Linked DNA regions of Oryctolagus cuniculus. The protein of the gene in region 2 interacts with the protein of the main gene of each other region in a biochemical or structural test. Links are inferred from orthologs where the notes say so. Each region holds a gene or a part of one and is shown on either strand. Other genes may lie near its edges. The genes, in order: HTRA2 and MAPK12.

What was found.
Region 1: of the proteins of MAPK12 (region 2) and HTRA2, one has a biochemical effect on the other in vitro, tested with the Homo sapiens proteins (2 studies listed by BioGRID and IntAct, with this or other methods). The link is inferred for Oryctolagus cuniculus from reciprocal best matches to the Homo sapiens genes MAPK12 and HTRA2.

What each region holds. Positions count from the first base shown.
Region 1 is NC_091433.1:128,427,497-128,431,999, forward strand, and holds the start of HTRA2 (serine protease HTRA2, mitochondrial), read right to left. Parts: upstream 3,030-4,503; 5' UTR 2,921-3,029; coding exon 2,415-2,920; intron 2,295-2,414; coding exon 2,090-2,294; intron 1,991-2,089; coding exon 1,758-1,990; intron 1,614-1,757; coding exon 1,535-1,613; exon of another isoform or gene 1,503-1,534; intron 1,441-1,502; exon of another isoform or gene 1,319-1,440; coding exon 1,213-1,318; intron 1,076-1,212; coding exon 1,006-1,075; intron 331-1,005; coding exon 235-330; intron 139-234; coding exon 1-138. Other genes in the region: lipid droplet-regulating VLDL assembly factor AUP1, read left to right, coding at 3,306-3,355, 3,436-3,573, 3,653-4,174, 4,406-4,478.
Region 2 is NC_091442.1:123,209,107-123,213,338, forward strand, and holds the start of MAPK12 (mitogen-activated protein kinase 12), read right to left. Parts: upstream 2,962-4,232; 5' UTR 2,869-2,961; coding exon 2,744-2,868; intron 2,674-2,743; coding exon 2,544-2,673; intron 186-2,543; coding exon 127-185; intron 1-126. UniProt on the Homo sapiens protein: Serine/threonine kinase which acts as an essential component of the MAP kinase signal transduction pathway.

The DNA.
Region 1 (4,503 bases), on a different chromosome or scaffold from region 2:
AAGGTCAGTGTTTCTGATCCGCGCCGGATCCGTACTGCCAGCTGGGATTGGGTTCGAACAGCTTCATAAACATCTTCCGCATTTTGTACCAGCTGCTCCCCAATGGCCAAGATCACATCACCAGGCCGCAGACCTGCCCTGTGGGGAAAGATGGAGAGAAAGGGAGGAGACTGCCCCCTTCAAGGACCCACACACATGCCACCCACCCCTCCTCACAGCGCAGTCTCCCCTTACCGGTGTGCAGGGGAGCCCAGGATGACTTTATGGATGAGCACGCCATGCTGCACGTCAGGAAAGCTTGGCTCTCGCAGCTGTAGCTCAGCAAGGATGCTGCAAGGACACGGATCACCCTGGTAGCCACACTGCCGCACCCGCCCTCTCCTAAGTTCATCTCAAGCCTCCCATCACGCTGACACGTGTATGGACAGGACATGTACCGGTCAGTACAAAGGCGACTGATCACTTTCTGCCTCCTTGTGTTTCACAAGTGGGACATGTCCATGAAAGATAACTAATTCCAAATGACACCAGTGTTAAATCAATAGCACTAATGTCACTCTAGAATCCTGGGAAGCTTTAAGGAGCGAGTACAACTTAAGCTGAGCCTAGAAAGATGGGTCTATTAACTATGTAAAACAAGATCAGCATAAATAAAAACACGAAGCAGGAAACCAGGTTGGCTGGAACTGAGTATTCACATAGGAAGTAATGGGACCCAGGTCTGAAAGGATGATTTAGAGACACGGAAAACAGGCCAGGCTAACTGACAGCTTTAAATGAACACAGGAACAGGATGAAATCAATCTTATGACAGGTGTACAAAATGGAGTGAGGTGAGAAGGTCAAGATGATGAGAGGGGCCAGCTCTTGGGAGAGCCCCGAATGTGAGACAGCTCATCTTAGATAAAGTCAGGAAAGAAAGCAAACCAAGCTCAACGGAAGTGCCAGTTGCTCACCACTGATTCTACTGGTGGTCCCACATGTCATGACCCCAAATGCTCATACCTCGGAGTCAGAGTCAGCATCATCACTCCAATGTAGCGGCGCTGGGACCCACTGATTCCAAACCAGGAATCTGTGATACAGGGATGAATGAGCCCCATCCAGCTACATCCTTCCTTCCCCCTCACAACAGACTCCCCCTCCAGCAAGTCCCAAAGAATGTCCCACCCAGCTCTTAAAGGGAACCCCCACCCCTTGAGCCAGCCTCACTTTTCTTTTCTCCTCGATGCAAAAACTCCCGAAGGCGATCAGAAGGGATGGCAAAGGAGATTCCAGCTGTGACCTTCATGGTGTTCACTCCAATCACTTCCCCATCCTGCAGGGACACAGCCCCCTGTTCCCTAGCCCAAACAGATAGTAGGGGATGGGGGCCCCCGGAACACGAGTAGAAGCATGGAGTGTTGGGGGAATCTGTATTGGGAGACAGGCAACAAGAGCCTGCTCAGAAACATAAGCAAACATCCTAGAATTACTGAAGCCCCTCCCCTCCTCACACTGACCTGGGGCCTTGGAAGAAGAATGTCCCACTCACCAGGTTAACCAGGGGACCTCCAGAGTTTCCAAACTGCAGCACAAGGAGAAAACATGGGAAAGGTCTGGGAATTCTAAGTCTGGGGACACACACAGGAGGTAGGCACTCTCTCCAAACTTCTCTGCTTCCCCAACCCATACATGAGTGTGGCCACATTTCTGCAGCCCAACCTCTACCACCCCTCAGTTGGCACCTGTACCACCCAGCTCACCCTTGCCCGGACCTAGTCTGCCAATGCAATGCCCTTGCATCAGGACGCACATCAATAGCTGCATCAGTCTGAATGTATTCCACATTGGTTTGGGGGAGTCCCAGGTCTCTGGCTGGGCGCTGAGCAGAGCTGACAATGCCAGATGTGATCGTGTTCTGCAGCGCAAAGGGACTTCCCATGGCAACAACAAACTCCCCTTGCCGCACATCAGCCGAGCGTCCCAGAGGCAGTGTGGGGAGAGGCTCCTAAGGGAGAACGGGTACAGGAGACCTGTCATCTGGTGACGGGAGCTACAAGACAACTCCACACAAACCTGGCCTGCCCGCCCCCCCCCCGACCCCCACCTTGGTCTGTATCCTCAGCGTGGCGATGTCTGCCACGGGATCCACAGCGGTGACCATGGCCTCATATGTGTCGCCGCTAGGCAGCCTCACGCGGACTCGGCGCCGATCAGCCACCACATGGGCATTGGTAACGATGAGCCCGTCGGCCGCCACCACGAATCCTGAGCCGTTTGAGATAGGAACTTCGCGGCCCGAGAAAGGGTGCCTGGGATTGCCGCAGGGGTAAGGGGGCCTGGGTATAAGGAGGCTCTGACCACCCCACCACCACCGCTTGCCCGCCTCTAGGCCTGTGGCTTCAGTGCCTTCCAGTCAACCCTGTCTTTACCGGTCCAGGATCTCGATATAGACCACAGCAGGTGCCGTCTTCTCAACCACGTCTGCGATGAAGTTGTACTGGCTCCGCGGAGAGGTTGGCGGCGGAGCAGGGACTGAGGCGAGGACAGCCGGGGGACCCCGACCCCCGCCCCACAACAACAACAGCACCGCCCCCCCAGCGCCCAGCGCCACCGCCAGCCACACGCGTGGACGGGTTCCAGGGGTCCCCGAGGCCTCCCGCGGCCTGGAATCTGGGGCCCCTGCAGTCAGTCGTGGCCGGGGATCCGGGGACCCAGACGTCAGAAACGCCCGGGGTTCAGGGACCCCCACAGCCAACCGGGCCCGGAGACTGGGGGTCCCATAGGTCATCCGGGCCCGGAGGTCAGGAGTTCCTGACGTCAGCAGAGCCCGCAGGTCAGAGGTCAACAGGGGTCCCTTCCCCCATCGAATGCCCCCCAAAGCCCGCAATCCCCAGAGGCTCCAGCCTGCACCCCGCCCCGCCCTCAGCGCAGCCATCTGCTCCGCCTCGGCTGCCTCCTCGCCCGCCCTTCTCAGAGGCGGTGCCCAGGACGTAAGCGGGCGGACAGCAAGACGCGGCGCACGCCGGTATCTGAAGTCCTCCAGAAGTGCACGCCGGGACGCAGGATCCCGGAAAGTCGACGCCGCCCCGCCCCGCCCCGCCCCGCGAATGCCGGGAATTGTGGTTCCCGAGGGACGCGAGTTCCAAGGCGGCCCAAGGGGCCGCGGGGCATGCCGGGACCGCTAGCCCTTCCGGGGCGCCTCCGGACTTCGGGTTCCAGCACCCTGGGCGGATGCCCAAAGACTCCGCCTTCCCAGGAGCCCCTGCGGCCGGGCGCGAAGATGGCGGCGGCGACGGCCGGACACCCCTAAAGCAGCTGCTATGGAGCCTCCCCCGGCACCGGGGCCGGAGCGGCTCTTTGATTCGCACCGGTAAGAGCTTTCGCGGGAAGAAGCCAGCTCCCGGGCCGTCTCGACCTTCGGCACCCGATCACGTCGCCTTTCTCCCGCAGGCTCCCAGGTGACGGCTTCCTGCTCCTCGCGCTGCTGCTTTACGCGCCCGTCGGGTTCTGCCTCCTCGTCCTGCGCCTCTTTCTCGGGATCCACGTCTTCCTGGTCAGCTGCGCGCTGCCAGACAGCGTCCTTCGCAGGTTCCAATTCGGGGGCTCGGAGAGTGTCAGGAGTGGGCCCGGCCCGAGGCCGCACCGTCACTACCGCCTGTGTCCCCAGGTTCGTGGTGCGGACCATGTGTGCGGTTCTGGGACTCGTGGCCCGCCAGGAGGACTCTGGACTCCGGGATCACCGCGTCAGGGTCCTCATTTCCAATCACGTGACACCTTTCGACCACAACATCGTCAACCTGCTCACCACCTGTAGCACCGTGAGTGGGGGCCAAAGCCCCGCAGGGCAGTTCCTGGGGACCCAGCTCAAGGCTCGCCTATCCCCGTCGGGTTTCCCTTGGGCGATACAGAACCTTTCCCCTAATCCCGCTCCTTTACCCTCACATCAGTTTCCCTCATTTCCCTCCATGGGTTTCTTCTTGCTTTGTCTCCTCCGCGGTCCCCAGCCTCTACTCAACAGTCCCCCCAGCTTTGTGTGCTGGTCTCGGGGCTTCATGGAGATGGACGGGCAGGGGGAGCTGGTGGAGTCCCTCAAGAGATTCTGTGCTTCCACGAGGCTTCCTCCCACCCCTCTGCTGCTGTTCCCCGAGGAAGAGGCCACCAATGGCCGGGAGGGGCTTCTGCGCTTCAGGTAGGTGAGCACAGATATCGGGCTCAGTTGGGTAGGTGGGTTTCCACAGCCTTGTTTGGTTTCTACGCTCTCCGTCCCCAGCTCCTGTCCTTTATGTGCGCTTTTATTTCTTCACCCTCAATCCCTTCTCTTCATCTGCTTGTGCAGTTTGATAGTTTCCTGTTTTAAGGCAGATGTGAGCTACTGATTGGGCTGACTGGACTCCCATCCTCCTCTGTCTTCCTCTTCTAGCTCCTGGCCATTTTCCATCCAGGATGTGGTACAACCTCTTACCCTGCAAGTTCAGAGACCCCTGGTCTCTGTGGTGAGTGTGTGGGGAAGGGAAGCTT
Region 2 (4,232 bases):
GTGTATCCCAGCGCCCGTCACCATGGCTGTGGGGAAAGGCCCCCTGCCGACCCAGAACCTAACGCTGGTGCCCAGGAGCCAGCCAGTGCCCTACTGGCCTGCCCGGCCAGCCCAGCCAGCACTCACAAGTCTGTGAAGTCGTCCAGGGTCTCGTCTGGGGTGAACACGTCCAGCAGGCCGATCACCTGGGGGAGAGCCAGAGCGCCAGGTGGGGGAGGGTGCAGCAGAGGATGCAAGGGCTCGGTGGTGCCGCACAGTGGGCAGGACCCCCCCGCAGCTGGCCTCGTCTCCCCACTGGCTCAGCCCTGGCACCTTCACCCATGCACGGTTATTTTTGGGTGGTGACAGCTGGGATGCTCTGGGGGAGGGGCAGCCTCAAGTCTGTGCTGGCTCTGAACCACCCAGAGGGCTCCCAGCCCCTCGGCCTTCCTCCCCCCTTCCTCTTCCCAACCAAGCAGCCCACAGGACCAGGATGGGGACAGATACCCAAGAGGCCCTTCCCAGAGCCATTGCCTCTGCCGGTGCAACCCAGGCGGGCAACACAGGGACAGCCAGACCTGGTCCTGCAGAGGCCCCGTGAGGCGGCAAGGACAGCAAACAGGTGTCGACTGCACATGCAAGCAGCCAGGGTGGGGACGCTGGACCCGGCGGGCAGGGCCACGGGCAAGGTGGCACAGCACAAGGAGAGTAGGGACACAGGGAAGGAGACCAGGTGAGGCCAGGGCAGGGAGGAACCGACAGGTGCAGGTGTGGCTCTGATCCTGAGAACCACCACTGAAGAGTGTAAACCAGGGTGGGGTACAGAACACATCCCCCTGGCTGTGGGGCAAGGACAGGTGGGAGTGAGGCAAGAACAGACTGAGGGGCTGGCGCTGTGGCATGGTGGGTTAAGCCTCCACCTGCAGCACCAGCTTCCCATATGGGCACCAGTTCAAGTCCAGGCTGCTCCACTTCCGATCCTGCTCCCTGCTAATGCGCCTGGGAAAGCAGCAGAAGATGGCCCAAGTGCTTGGATACTCTGCATCCACGTGGGAGACCCAGATGAAGCTCCTGGCCCCGCCCTGGCCATTGCAGCCATATGGGGAGGGAGCCAGCAGATGGAAGCTCTCTCTTTCTCCGTAATTCTTTCAAATAAACAATCTTGAAAAAAAAAAAAAAAGAATATAGGTGGATGGACAGGTGGCTGCCCACAGCAGCCACCAGCACCAGAGTTGTGGGCAGAAGGGAATAGTGTGGGACATGTGGAGCAGGGCCTGGGGACAGGTGGGCTCACGGAGGTGACCACAGATGTGAAGACCTGGGGGCACTCTTGTGGGGGCTATCGGATGGACAGGGACTTCTGTGCCATGTAAGTAGATCACAGCCCAGAGTAGGGGGCCAGGGCTGAATCGAGGGAAGTGGCCCGGAGAGACCACAGGAGGGGGTCAAGGGAGGCAGGACTGGGACCCACGGCAGCTCCTTCCTCCCCTGAGCAAGGCACTCGGCTTCCTCGTGGGAGAACGGGGCTCCCGCAGGCAGAGCTGCCCAGCCGCAAGCAGCTCAGGAAGCCCCCAGGATGGCAGGACCCTCTGGCCTGGGGCTGCAGCACAGGGGATCGGAGATGGGTGGTGACTGAAGCCCAGAGCCCAGGCAGCACAGGGGGTGGTGGGTGAGCATGAATGCGAGTGTGGGTGAGAAGCTGGCTAAGACCTGCGGTCCAAGAGGCTGCCTCGTGGGATTGGTGTCCACCCCCAGTGGGTTTCACGCAGAAAGGGGTGAGCCCTGGCCAGGGGCGAGGTGGCAGTTGAGGAGAACAAAGGGCCTCCGAGAGCGTCAGTGGCCGACACCCAGGTTTGCTGCTGGACACGAGGAGTCCTTCTCCCAGGGTCTGGCAGCTCCAGGGACCTGGGAGACCAGAACATCCACCCAGACCATGGCCCTGAGACTGGGCCCACCCCAGGGGCTGAGACAGTGTGGCATGGATGGGAGGGGACAGAACTCTGGGCCCCAGGGAACCCGGGTGGAGGAGCGAGAACTCCCCCTGGCAGAAGGAGCTCCTAGCAGCCAGCAGTGGCCCTGGGAGACACCTGGGGCAGCCATGTGTGGGGAGCCAGGGGAAGGATGGGAAAAGATGCCCCCAGGAGGATGTGTGATGTCCTCGCAATGGCCTCCAGCCCTCAGCTCTGCAGACACCAGCTCCCTGAGCCATTGCTCCTACCGGAGACCCCACCCTCCCCGGGGATGGCCTTGCCCATGGCCCCTGCCTGCCTGGAGCAGAGTGGGCGCTGGAGAACGGCACTGGGACCAAAGGAGGGCGGTCCCTGGAAACAGGAACCCCTACCCGACACCCCGCCCCAGCACCCGCTCCCCAGCACGGGGCCGAGGCCTGGACAGAGCCCGGTCCCCGGCAGAGAAACCAGCTGCGGAACCAGCAGGCAGTCAGACGCTGGGCGGAAGGGAAAGGGTGTCCCCCACAGAGGGACTGCGCTGCCCCTCCCCTGCAGCGGGGACTGGAGGCCGGTGGGAGGGCCCCTCGGCCGGGAGGCGGGACCCCGCGTCCTCACGTTCTCGTGGCGCATGTGCTGGAGCAGGCGCAGCTCGCGGTAGGCACGCTTGGCGAACAGCTCCGACTGGAAGGGACGGTACAGCTTCTTGATGGCCACCTTGGCGCCCGTGCGGCTGTCCACTGCCGAGCTGCGGGGCGCACCGCTTAGCGGGGAGGCCAGGCCTGCCGACCCCCGCCCATCCCGCGGCCCGCGCTCACCACACGGCGCCGTAGGCGCCCGAGCCCACGGGCTGCAGGTCCTGGTACACAGCGCGCACCTCCCAGGCGGTCTTGGTCACCTCCTGGCGGTAAAAGCCCTTGCGGGCCGGTGGCGGCGAGCTCATCGCGGGCCGGCGAGGCTCCGCGCGCCCTCCGGCCCCGCAGCCCGCCGACCCCGGCCAGCCCCGGCAGCACGCGGCCCCTCCCCCGCTCGCGGACCAACCGGCCCCAGGGCCACGCACACGTGACGCCCCCGCCCGCCCTCCGGCCCCTCCGGAAACCCGAAGCGGCCGCCGCCCGGGGAGGGAGCAAGGCTGGGGGGAGGGGAGCGCCGGCCCTCGGCCCCAGCGCGGTCCTCCCGGGGCGCTGGGCTCATCCAAGGTCGCTATCCACCTGCCCTTCCGTTACCTCCGCCCAGCCCTTCGTCCCCGTCCCCTGGGCCAGGCCGCATCTCACGCGGGTGTCCAGATCCCCACCCCACTCCCAGGGTGCCCACATTACCATCCATCAGTCCCCGAAAGTTCAGCGCCCCACAGTGCACCTTAAAGATGTATTTATTTGAAAGGCAGTGTTACAGAAGGGAAGGCAGAGAGAGAATCTTCCATCTTCTGCTTCACTCCCCAGATGGCCTCAACTGCAGGAGCTGAGCCTATCCGAAGGCAGGAGCCAGGAGCCTCTTCCCGGTCTCCCATGTGGTGCTCACATGGACGCCAGCACTGCAGGCAGTAGCCCCCACATTTTACATTGTGTCTTGCCCGCATCCCTCCTTCCACGGGGAGAGGTTGGTTCCCCCCTCCTGAAGGTCACACGGCACGCCCAGCGCCCAGCCCTGTGCCTGCAGACCCCAGCCTCCCAACCTGGCAGCCAGAGGGGCACGCCCAGCTCCCCTTCTAGCACGGCTGCAGGTGGGGTGCCTGCTCCAGGCATCCGCCAGTGTGTCCTGAATCCCGGATGAACCGCACTGCCCTCTCTCCAGGAAGGTGGGCCTGCCCCCATGGGTGAAGCCCCCTCCCGAGAAAATCTGGGCCAGGGCCAGGGTCCCTGCCCCACCTCCATGCCCTGTCCATCCAGCTGCTTTGCACCTGGGCTTCATGGCAGGGGGGCTGGAGCACTCACCAGCTGTGAGCACTGGGCAGGGGCAGTGTGTGGCACTCCAGCCACGGCTTCCCCTTGTTTTCCACCTGCCTGACCCAAGAAGCCCCCGCCCTTCATGAGGGCCCAGGGCCTAGCAGGGCCCCATGCCACAGCAGGCTCTGGAGGTGGGTGTGTCACAAGCCCCGCCCCAGCTCTTACCCCAAATGATGGACATGGTCCCTCCTGGTCTCCAGGGCTCCCCCAGCAGTGGCCATCATACTGACCAGGCCTCTGGAGGTCCAATTCCCGAAAGCCCAGGGCAAGAGCAGACTGCCCACTCGTGGGCCGCTAGTGTGGGGAGCAACCCGGACTGGACTGAGTTACTGGAATTAAGACTTATTCTATGCATCTGCTC